Neodiprion lecontei: one gene and its partner. The protein of the gene in region 1 interacts with the protein of each later gene in a pairwise test. Links are inferred from orthologs where the notes say so. Each region holds a gene or a part of one and is shown on either strand. Other genes may lie near its edges. The genes, in order: axin and glycogen synthase kinase-3 beta.

What was found.
Region 2: the proteins of axin (region 1) and glycogen synthase kinase-3 beta interact in a two-hybrid assay, tested with the Drosophila melanogaster proteins (2 studies listed by BioGRID, with this or other methods). The link is inferred for Neodiprion lecontei from reciprocal best matches to the Drosophila melanogaster genes Axn and sgg.

The regions. Positions count from the first base shown.
Region 1 is NC_060261.1:3,714,206-3,720,817, forward strand, and holds the start of axin, read right to left. Parts: upstream 3,611-6,612; 5' UTR 3,498-3,610; intron 1,860-3,497; exon of another isoform or gene 1,781-1,859; coding exon of another isoform or gene 1,560-1,780; intron 1,482-1,559; coding exon of another isoform or gene 1,416-1,481; intron 1,078-1,415; coding exon of another isoform or gene 988-1,077; intron 743-987; coding exon of another isoform or gene 682-742; exon of another isoform or gene 668-681; intron 577-667; exon of another isoform or gene 538-576; intron 1-537. Other genes in the region: uncharacterized protein LOC124292941, read left to right, coding at 682-742, 988-1,077, 1,416-1,481, 1,560-1,780.
Region 2 is NC_060265.1:25,391,466-25,397,956, forward strand, and holds the start of glycogen synthase kinase-3 beta, read left to right. Parts: upstream 1-2,630; 5' UTR 2,631-4,604; coding exon 4,605-4,791; intron 4,792-6,491.

The DNA of each region.
Region 1 (6,612 bases):
AATCTGCCATGAAAATCCGATTGCCAATTTTTACACAAGCTTAATACACGCGAAAAAATTTTACAGAATTTTTTCAACATTTTTCTTGTTGTTTTTATTTGTGCGCCATATTGGGTCGGCCATTTTGAATTTCCGAAATTCGAGTTCAGATTCGTAATGAGTCACCCCAAAACTACGAAACATAAAGTTTTATCAAAATCAACTAACCTTTCGAATTTACGTTCTCCATATTGGATCCGCCATTTTGAATTTCCGAAATTCGCGTTCAAACTCGTAATGAGTGACCCGAAAAACCACGAAACATAAATTTTCGTCAAAATCAACTAACCTTTTGAATTTACGTCCGCCATATTGGATCCGTTATTTTGAACATTCAAATTTCGAGTTTAGACTCGTGATCAGCGCCCCCAAAAGTCCACGCAGGTATACTAAATTTCAAGCGAATCGCATGTAAGGAAAAATGTTTGCGTGAAATGGCTAAAGCTGCAACTTTTCGGCAAAGAAACAAACAATCAAATTTATTATTCTTCTCCACAGATACGTCGGGTGCCGATTGGACTCCGTTAAGTTCAATAAGTAAGTATATTCTTATTGTTTAGCTTAAAAAAAAAAAAAAAAGTAAGATTTGTTACCGGTGCAATTAGAGCAACTATTTATCAATTCCCAGAGGATTTTTCCTGCATGGAGGCTGACTACATGCACGATTCTACACAGGATTACGAATCAGACATAATGTCGTATCGTGAGTAATTATGCAGCTCTGCGGTATTCTTTTTACTAATTTTTACCAAGTAAACTAAAATTAACTTTATCGTAATCGGAATTTTTTCAAGCCAAGGAATAAAATGCCCTGACTCTGCGACGAGATTCTCGGTTTCGAGTGTCAGGCCTAATACTTTAGGCTAGAATAAGAATCCAGCAAACGTGTTTAACACCCGACTCCGATTACGTAAGATCGTATAGAATTACATAATTGCTTTGTTTCAGTCGAAAACAGAGCTGAGAGAAACCGACCAAACAGCATGGCGGAAGGTTATCATCTTCCGGGTAGCACCTACGGAAGAGCAGAAAATAGCGGTAAGCCATCAAACTACCCCGGTGAAAATGATTGCTACAATTTTCTACGAAATTTTTCCGGAAAATCGGGTCATTTCGTACGACATTGTGCAAAAAATTATTGTCGTACTTGTAAAAGCTTGTAGATTTTCATGAAACTATCTATTGTTTCAAAAAAAAACTCTACAAGCTGTTACGATTTTTAACGAAAATTAATAATTCTTTAAGAAAAATTATGCATGTTTACAATTTTTTTTTAAGATATAATACGAAGTGTTGAAATTTCTGTAAAAATTCGTAGTGGTAGAAATTTTTTTCTGCTTCGAGAACTAATGAAAAATGTTTTTCCGATTCAATAGATGATTACAAAATGTATACAAGTACACCGAAAAGGAATCAAAGAACAACCAGAGCAGAAGCCTTTGGTAATTAATGTTTTACTCGGAATTCGAATGTTGTTTGAAACGGATGAAGCATGAAAATGATGAAAATAAATTGTTTAGAAATGCCTGACGGGTCTAAAATGTTCAACGTAACGTTCGAAGAGTGCTTGAAATTCGGACGAAGATTGAGACACACCAGTGATGTCAGGGACAACGAGGGGTGTCAAATTATGCAATTGGATCGTAAAATTGATGAAAAGCCGAATGGAACAAGGCACAGAATCGACATTGCTAGGAGATGGCTTAATATGGACGACGACAACGGAAACGGGTTTTATTGAAAATTGTAAAACGTTGATAGAAAAAAAAAAAAACAATTCAATTATCAACAGTAGAACGTCTCTGTGACAAGGAACGTTTCACGATAATAATAAATCGCATGAATTTGTCCATTTACGTATATCCTTCTTTGTTCATTATATCACCAATTCCATCCGTATGTTGTGTATAAAAAACTAATGAGTTTCTATCACGATATAATTACTGATTTGGTTGCTTGATTAGAGGATTAGGACGAAATCGAAAATACAAATGTATATAGAAACTGAGTAGCAATGGTAAAAAAAACAAAGATGATCTGAAAACAGATGTCGTGTTAACAGCTTGGTATCGATGAAACAAATTTTTGTCTCCAAATTCTAAACTAACCAAATTCGAAATTGATGTAAATATTTTCCAGTCTTGAGATTATTAACCCAGGTTGAATAAACAAAAAGAAAAAAAAAAAAATCACCAAGACATTAAAACCAAGAATGAAGAGATCCGGATGTGGAAGTCAGGGAAAAAAGCACGGTAAATTAAAGGGACGGAATTGCATTGCAATTGATTATGGAACTTTGAGGATGATCGTATCAGAAAGTGGCGAATGTGATGTGTCGGAAATTGACTATTAAAATTTCAATGATATACCGTAATTTAGTTGACTGGAATTGCATTGTAGCTGGTGGTTCGTTCGGCATTGGTTATAACCTTGCATTTCTCTTTTCGAACTCTAAACCCGCGTTTAGAAGCATCGAAACCATGAACAATGATTTCCGTTACAGCCGTCACGATCACCCCCCAAAAAAGGGAAGATATTTTTTTATTTAACTTTTTCGGTGCGGTTTAATCCCAGGAGTTTTCCCTTCACTCTTCAATTTACAGCCAAAATGTCCGCCTGCGACGTAAACGAGGACGAATTGGAAGTGGACATGGAGGACTATCGTAAGTCAAGCCTTGTTGTATAATTGTTAGTGTAACTTTGCGGTACGTTTCGCTAATTAAATCACTCGAAGAGTAAATTTGAACAAATACCGTTCTTTAGTGATGAATATGACGTCTCTATCAACCGTTTCCAAAGGAAAGAGTTTTGGAATACCTCACGACACTACCCTGGATACATCGAAAATAACATCACGACCACTTATGGAAACGGTGGAAAAAGGTGATGTAATAAATTTCGTGTCCATGTGTTATAGTTGCTAACTAATCGGATCCGAGTTACTGGCTTGTTGACAAAGTCCAGTAATTCTACAGGTGCAAGACTGACGAGTGAAGTTCGTGCAGAGTAATATAAGTATTCGGTTTAGATAATAAACGTTGATGTAATTTCCAGAGATATCACCAGACGTTAAGCAATACAACACAAAAATAACGGAGGAAGATCCCTGCAGCGGAAAAAGGGCTGTGATGCATATGTCGCATGTTTTGAATAAGAAAACTGGAACGATTATCACTGTTCAAAGAACCGATTACACAGGTGGATGTCCTGTGAAAGACAAAAATTTGGGCTTTGCTGAAAGTACAAGACTTTCATCAAAACGTTAGAAGAAAATATGCACGGAGAATGAAAAATGAATAACGATAAAAATCGAAATTATGGGCATATAAATTTGGCATAATTTACTTGCCTGAATATTGTTAAACATCATAGGTCGCGTGATGAGAAAAATAATCATGGTATTTATGCTTTCGAATCGTCAAATTCGATACCTTAAAAAAATAATAAGACTCGTTTACCTTATTTTATAGACGTAGCCTCGCCTCATTTGAAACACCTTATTTCGATTCCAAGCTTGGCAATTAAGTCTTCGAGCCACGTTCGTTTTATTCGAGTCTCGAGGGCTGCGTAATAATTTTTTTTCTGAAAGATATAAAGAGAGAAATGTTAGGAAGGAAAAAGTAAAATCAGTTCAAAAATGGTGCATGGTAATCATGTCTCGCCTTACTGTAACGTCCGAGACTTTAATAAGTTTCTGTGCTGAGCACGAGGTGATCAAAAGATTAAAATGAAAGGTAATCGAAATTTCGGGTACTCGAAGTCGGGTTCGGGTCGGGTTTTTTGGCAAACCGGAAATCTTCGGGTAATCTAAAAACATCGGGTAATTTGAAAACTTCGGGTAATCCGAAATCTTCGAAAATCTCCGTTCACTTTAGAAATCCCGATATTTTTGGAGAAGCGAAAATAGATACGAGCAAAATTTTCGGAAAACCCAACATTCTTGAGGAACTCGAGATTCTCAGGTACACGACCCGAAAAATTTCAGTACCCGCACACCTCTAGTGACCATCATTGTGCAGCTGCAGCTGTCTCAAGGTACTTAATAAAAATACTTGCATCTGCAGAAGGGACAATGAGAACTGTAGAAGGACTTTTCCAGGTATAGCCGAACCGCGTTAAAATTTTTAGCCGCCAATTCAACGATCTTTGCGAGCTGCCGCTCAGGGTCAAGATAATGTGATTTCACACTTCCTACCAGGCAAGCGTTCTCATTGGTTTGCAAAGTTTAATCAACCAATCAGAATGCAATACGTTGTTCTTGTTTAATGTCAATTCTTTTAAAGAATTCGAAATTAGATGGCAACGGTGAAAACTTCTTAGGACAGAGGCAAAGCTCCTCGCGAACTGCGGCGCCAAAGAGATAAAAGATTGCTGACAGCACTAAATGGGAGCTAATTTCTGCATTCGTTACATATTTACACCAGATACCGGGATGATTTCGCATGTTTCTACGACGACTTGAATTATCCCAATTTGCGCAAGACTCCATAGGTGAGACATTAAATGATGAAAAATAAGCTGCGATGTAAAAAAAAATTAATATTAATAAAATGTAAATATCGACTTGCGAAAGTTCTCGTGTATGCTTCTTTCATATTCAATCTCCTCGTAAAAAAATTTATTTTCAGTTTCAGGTTATCCTCCATTGTCGAATAGTAATATTTCGCCATACACTTAATATTCGAAAATATTTACATTCAACAAGAATAAAGCATTGCATATTTTCATATAATTTCCAACTTTTCCCAAAGGTACCTGAACGCATACCTGGATGCGACGTCCTTTGTTCCCCCACCACCAAGAGGAAATTCTGTGTTCGCAACCTTTTTCAGGTCAAATTGGGCTCTCACTTCACCGTTATAATCGGCAATTATCACTACGAATTGTAGACGGAGGCCTCGACAAGGTCCGACATTTTACAATCGGGAGAGAAATTATAAAAATAACAAACTGATTATTTTCGATGAAAATTAATTATAAAATATTAATAACTTGCAATATCGTAATACGTCTGTTTTTAGAATTGCGTGGAGAGTGAAAACATGAAGAGAAGAAAAAAAAATTGTCGGTAACGAGATTCCATACAGAGCTGGCGATAATTAAGTTTACCGTTAATTTGAAAAGTACAACGTATACGAGTACGCACAAATTTTCCTCGTTCGATTTTCTCGGAATTGTCTCGCGCCTTACTATTTACAGTGAAGTTTGTGTCGAATACAAACAAAATCTTTATACGTCACACAATAATTATGCCTTGCCTAAACTATAATGTACTATCTGATTGCTGGATGTTATTACACACATTTTTTACGCACGTGTATATTAAATATGGTAGGCATGCAGAATAATATAGCACTCGATTCTACTCTGGGAAATATGCGCTTTGCGTTGTGAAACGTGATAATTGTTAGAAAAAACTTGTCACACGTACATACATATATACATGCATACATACTGGGGTGAGCCAAAAAAGCTAACCTATCCAATCTTTGGTCTTAAAAGGACCTATTTACCGAGAAAAAAATTGAAATAAAAAAAAAAAAAGTACAACCGGATACGTTATATTTAGTCAGTTGATTATAATTTCATTCCCTCCCAGAGGGGTCGCAGAAAATGGCATGAAGTACTAAAAAATTTGGGAAAACTTCTGTTTTTGGAAATATATATTGCGAAGAAGAAGCGATTACCCATACGGGAAAACAAATTCCAATGCAATTTACAGTTCAACGAGGAGCTGCCGAACGTTAGATGTACCAGAATTGGACAAACTCCCGGGATTAATACCTAACTACAATTATGTTTCAATACTTACGAATAAACGATCGACTATCAAAGATCGGTATTGCGTTATCAAACATTCACAAGTTTGAACTCAAAAATAGTATTACTAAGTGTTTAAATAAAATGCTAGAAAATGATGAGATGATCAAAAATTCTTTAACTTCGAGGAATCGAATCTCTATGAATACGCGGAAGATATAATCTCCGATAGTCGTAATCGGATTCCTAGATGTCAAAAATACGTGAAACATATGTTGTCAAAATTCACCTGACTTACCCAAAAAGATTGAATTACTTTGAGACGCCATTTTGCGATTTTTGGCAGTTGCAGCACGGACACGCTTGACGTATCTATGAAGCCTTGGCAGTTAAGTTCAAGTGGTTAATAATGACTCAACTATTGACAATCGAGCGTCAACAACCCAGTTATCCAACATCAACAACGTGCTGACAAACAATTCCGAACACGTCCAATATCCAAAAATCATATCCGTCTTGGAATTTCGTCCCTGATTGGACAAATATTTAAACAGTGAAATGAAAGGAAAGAATTTACCTACATCACTGATATAGATACGTATATGTATACTAACTGCGATGCGTACGTCAACACGTACCTAGCGTAGTCTCATTGGAAGCACGGAAAGCTAGATTTTTTTTGGAACCCGCGTATGCTGTCGCCTGTGCATAACGTCCGCAAGTTCCATGTAAATTGAAATTTTTAAATATTAATTCCGGACGTCGTTTGGTCTGGTTCATTTGTTTCGTAAATAAACCAGCAGCGATACCGCC
Region 2 (6,491 bases), on another chromosome or scaffold:
ATTTTTTTCACCCCCTCGCTGAGTAAACTCCGCTGAGTGAGTATATTTTAATTTTCGGAATAATATCTACTTTATCGAAATTTTGCTCTGACGGAACTTTACTTTTCGAAACATCGCTCTATCGTAACTTGAATTTTCGGAATTTTGCGTTCCAGAACTTTGAGCCGTCGCGTTTCCGACCATTCGAAACTTTGCTGTTTCGTCAAAGTTTGATTTCTTTTACTCAAGTTTCACCACCAAGTAATTCGGAATTAGGCGCTTTCGAAACTTTAACCCCACCCAAAATTTCAGACATTCCTAAGGGTCCGAAGTAACGTTACTAACTTGAATCTCATGAAATTTTGTTGCTGTAAAGTTGCGCAGAGTATACCTTATACGATGCAGCCGTGTAACTTTGGTGTAGTTATTAACCTCTAGACGGCCGGCAACGCCACAATAGTGGTGTTGCCATGATTCGAACATATCCGGGGAACATTGGGGGATCATTATATAGAAGTATCTCACCAAAGTAGGCATGTATCAACGAAAAAAAATCCCGGTCGCAAACAGGTTAATACAGGCAGGCAGTGTGTAGAAGTTGTTGTTCAAATTGTCCGAAACGCGTCTTTGGCGTCAATTACAAATTCCATTGTATACGCGAATAAAGCGAGCTCCATTTAATACTTCGTACAGTTGAGAAGAAATAAACACGCTGACCAATTAAAACCTCCAGAGTCTAATGACGATAATGGAATTCTCCGAGCACCACTCGCTAGACCATAACAGCGACAACGTCGTCATCTTCCCGATCAATTACGCTGCACGGTGCGCTCTGTAGATGCTGCCTCTTCATAACTTGCAAGATATTATGTTCATCAAGCATTTTACTCGCGTCTCAATTCCTATTCATTATGCGTGCCTTGTGTATAATCTCGTGTCTGAAACTCGCGGTTACGCCCTCGAGCATATCCGCCGAATCCTGCCTGCATCTATCCACGCGTCGTTTTCTCATTACATATACATATATATTAGAATATGTATGTATGTATGAATTATATATATATATATATAGGGAAAAACTGATGCAAGCATTGGAAATTGATTGGATATACTGGGGGTATAATGTAATAAGATAAGAATCAGGTGGGTTTCAATAATTCATTTTTTGTTCGTAAATATATATAATAGTGTGCGATTTTTCTCACGGTTAGCAAGTAAAAACTTTTTGGCGAGAGACGCGCCTTTCAAGTTTTTTCCACGCGCGGTCGTTAGCAGCGGATAATATGCCTGCGTACTGTAAATTTGGCATGTTAGATATAGTCGTGACGTGTGTACGTGCATGTTGTAAATTTTTTTTTCAAAGAATTGGAAAAAATCTATCACACAATACGCGATTCTGATTCCCGCCTTGCGGGATCCGAGAAGCGAGTTGTCGGGTACAACAGGCGTGCAATTATAGACACACACACGCATTCGTATACACGTACGTAATGCGGTCATTCGCGTTTTCTGCAAATTTCCTGCGCGGACTTTGCGTCGATCTTTGTTTCTTTGTCTCACCCCCGGATCGTACCGCAATCGTTGTTATTGCCAAGTGCGATTGTGTGTATGTGCGATTCTGCGAACGATTCTACGTACGTACGCGAATATACATAGTATGTGTATGCGGTATGGAAATGATGACGTATAAGGTGCCTTGTGTGCCTCGTGACGTAGGCGAAATATCGACGGTTGCCGACGATTTTCTCCATCCTTGCCAATTTCGTTGCGACGCGCTGCTTTCCCTATCCCCCGTGTATTTATAAATATAGAGAGCGACGTTTGCAGATATTTAACGATATATTGATTGTTATTATTAACTATCTTATTATTGTATTAACTGTAATCTGTGCTGTTGAATTATTAATTACACGAAGAGAGAAAGAGGGAGAGAGGGACCAGGAATTTAATTCATACATTCTCGCAAATTTCAAGACAATTTAATATATTTGTAATCCTTTTGATTTGAAAATTTTGTTTCTTTGTACGTATGGCATATAACGCAGTTTAAGTGCTGGGGAAAAATATTTCTCATATTACGTATATTTCGTATATTTCGTATATTTCGTCTGATCCACGGTCTCGTATTACAGGTTTTGTAATTTTTTGTTTTTCCATTCGTCGGCGACTCTTAATAGAAATTATACCGCAAGTAAAAATGAAATCATTATTACCCCAAAACCCTCCAAGAATCTGACCACTATCCACATGATAAAAAAAAACAAGGCTCTGTTTACACACTTCCCATTTTTGCTACACTTGATTATCGAATGTTTTTTCAACAAACTTTTCAACAATATTTACTATAGAATTGGATAGAAGAAAAAACAAAGCTGCTTGTGTTCGGTGAAACAAAGATTTTACCGACAGAGAGAATTTCCCTCCCAATTATTACGCACATACAGCTATGCCAATGCCACGTCGTGTTATTTGGAATTTTTCGAATCGCATGGTTTGTGCCTATTTTTATCTATGTACAATCATCGTACATGTACGCGGTATAGTAAACGTACGTTTAACACGAGTCGGTCTATTCTCCCCACTCGGTTCGGAAACGCCTCTCTTTCTCTCTGTTTCTCTCTCCTAAGCCAACCTCTTCCCTCATCGTCAGTCGCTATATCATCAGATCGGTGAACAGACGGCCGCGTACAGGTCGCCCCCAGAACTGACCTAAAAATGTGAACAGTTATTCAACCCGGCGACGACAGTTTCTTACTTTACTGCCTTTAAATCTGTGTATATTGCTCGGGGTATCGACCGTTCTCGCTGGTTTTTTTCTCACTTTTAGAAACATTCCCTCATTAATCTCCGCGCGATTAATCACTGACATGTGAACAAACGATGACAAAAGAAATTGGTGAAAAATTTGTGTTTTTCTTCAACCGCGAACCGCGTCGCTCGCATCATATTTGCAATGCGAAGGAAACATACGCGCTTAACATATTTTCGCTTATATTTTAATGATGAAATAATTTCACGCAACTGTATATAGGTATAGTTCGTATGTGAAGATTTGAAAAAGAAACGAAGAGTTGAGAGGATAAAAAGAAAGGAAGAATGGCGATAAGATTCTGTGTCCGTGAATGCTGTGTGCGTCGTTATCACGAGTAACATTCAAACGTGAAATGTAAAGTATCGCATTTCTTCTTCACAAGTGGATAATGTAATTTTAATCATCATTATTGTAATTTTCCGTTTTTATACATTACTCGTTTAAATGCCGTGACGTATGTAACTGAATCGTTCGTTCAGTGCCTGACTACAGTGTATTCCCGGACATCCATCGCGCTGTGCAGCGGTAGAAACAGGGATTTGCGTTACTGGTGAATTATTTATCGATCCCGGCTTCGCGCTACAGCGTTGAATAAAATTAATATATTGTTTGGATTTGGATATCGTATCGAGAGTGGTGTCGCATGTGTTATTAAACCTCGTCTCGCCTTCCAGTGCTCATCGTCGTCGTCGTCGTCGTGTCCAATAATAGCGTCGCAAGTGCACGGACCAAGTGTGTGAAATTAGAATAGCATATACAAATATGCGAAATCGAACGACTATTAACGCGGAGACTGTAATAAATGATAATATACTAAACTGATAAAAATCAACACTCCGGTATCGAAGGTGGAAAAATTATCACATCTAGTGTATTTGATTATAATATTTGGTCTTCTCTCTTTACATACGCGATTTAATCCAGCGGCGCCACGGCTCGTTTTTATTGCTGATATATTATACGGCAAATAAATATTTGAGCGTGTTTTACACGTAGTACGTTTTTTTTTGTTTTCAAATGAAACATCTCGAAAGTGGTGGAAACGTAAAAAGGAGAGAAGAAAAATCTTTATTTGCACCAACTGATATCGCTCATATTCTGCGTGCAGACCGCTAAAAATAGAGCCGACTCGCTGACAAAATATTTACCGCGAACAAACAATATTCGTCAAATGTTCACGGGGAAGTAAATTGAACTGTTGATGTATAACGGAGACGAAAAAAAAAATATACATACATTATAAAATAAAATCTTATACAGCCTCTTATACATCACTCACGTGTTGTTGCGTATAAACCATAGAGTGACGAGAAGTGGAAATCTTATTGATAAACTAAAACGGCGAATAATCAAATTTCAACAACTAATCCATAATTCAATATCTACTCGAGGTGAAGAATATTATTCAACTCTTTTCTCTCCGTAATACTATTCTTGCTTTTTAAAATCCTATAAAAATGTTCGTCAGTCTCGAAATATTGTGTTTACACATGTATAATAATTCGTGGTGGTTCCAGTGATATCACTCGGATATAAACGAAGATTTTACAGGCTTACGACGGTTAAGCCAAGACTTTGAGTCCGTAAGATTTAAGGATCGATTTGCATTTTTCTTTTTAAATTCGTGAATGAAATTCACCGTGTGTGTGTATACATATTTGTAACACGTGTAACCAAACCAGTTTATAACGAAGCGGAAATAGGAATATTGGCAAAATACCGTATAACCTTCCTTAAAACGTGAAATAATCCAGTACACTGAACGATATACTTGTACAAAGTTGTTAAAAAAAAAAATAAAACAAACAAATAAATGGCGCCCGCGAACACGTTGAATTGGTCAGAACCGCGCCAGGAATGGCGTTATCCAAAATTCTGTCTGTCGGGTCAAAGGGGCGATAAACCAGCGTCGAAAAGCACGTTGGAAGTCAACGAAAAGGAGGCCGACAGTGCCTACAAGAAGATTTGCAAATTTTTACGAAATCTCGGTGTTAAAAAACGTAAGTTTTTTTTTTCACGCTCTATATATAATGCGCTATAACGCGGGTGATCTTTTTCATCCATGAATAAATTATTATCATACTAGTTCGTGGAGTTGTTTCGAAGAAGATTATAAAATGAGAAAGAAATTCCGACGGAGCTTTGACCCTCGCTCGTGAATGTGAGTGAAACAAGCAAAATGGAGATTTGTTGTTGTCTGCTTTTGAAATATTTCGGTACATCTAGACGTGCCATTAATACATCAAACCACGTGTTCGCATCGCGTGCTTGATATATTTGTCTGTATTTTTGTCTCGCGAATACGAATTTTTATTGTGACGGATAAATTTTAAACCGATTATTGTGTATTATTGTAGACAAATAGTCATGGATGCGTATGAAATGAACAACTTGCACAGAGATGACAAGATGTCGTTACTCCAATATCGTTAATTGCTGCTTAATTTGCTAAAAAGTGCTCTCGTAACTCGCAAATGAATTCTTAACAAATTACGAATGTTGTGGATAATTTTTCATACGGTTGATCAAAGTTTTTTTTTTTTTTATCAAATCCCGAGTCTACACAATTATCGTGATGATTTCTATAACGGTCAAGTTAGAAAAACAAACTGCCAGCGCAAAGTGATCTGCTTAAAACTAGTCGACAAGCTTCCACGTTTACCCAAGTCAAAAATTATTGCTTTCATAAAAGTCAAAAGCCGAGAGCTACTTCGGTTGTAATTTTCTCCCCCTTTTTTTATGTTCTAAAGCTTACGTTTGACTTAAGGCTAGGTGAATCTTTGTGAAACGTAGCTGTTTGTCGTTGAAGTAGGTGTACTGTTCGAACTATATGCTTATAAATATACGCGTTGGCAAGCGAGACGTTTGCTTAACTTCAGCTCCTCGTACGATCTGAATATTCATTTGGTTTTATGCATTAATTTATTGTGCCGCGCCGTTCCTACGCAATAAGTACCCGCGAGTATTGTAACAACGTTACGTATACACCACGTATGTACCTAGATGCGAATCGTGATAGGTTTTTGCTATTAGAAGCAGGGCGAAACCGCATAACTCTCAGCAGGTGTTCGCTCGGATTACGTACATAGGAGAAAATAGCTCATCTACATACATATATATGTAATACATATAAGTATATATGTATCGTACAGCGGTTACGCGTGACAAATATGGCGGCTTCATTTATCGAGCATAATTAACCATTTCAATATCGTATGCTATGCTATTTACATGCTTATGCCGTGCATGATGTTTACGTGCAAGAGTTGTAAAATTTGTTGAAAACTCGTGTAACACAGGTAATAAGAAATAACTCTTTATACTTCTCTCTCTCCCTCTCTTTCTCTCTCCACCCCTCAAGGTTGGAATGAGCTACGCCAATTTGGCAGTGGCTACATTTTCTTGACCTCTTTTCTCTTTGTAAATTCAAATTTAGGTCAGAACGTAATTGTAATTGAGAACAGTCCTCTTGTATACGCCCACAATATGAATGAAAAAAAACCTGATCCTTTTAGAAAGGTCTCTGTACAGGTTTCAACCGATTGACAATGATTTCAAGTATCATTTTCATTATAATGAAGGATACAACCGAAGTCCTTGAAAATATCATGCGAATATCAATTGACTTTTGATGTAATCGTACTAAAAATTCACGGCAGAAGATACTGCAACACTTACGCTGTATTGATCGGCGTAAAAA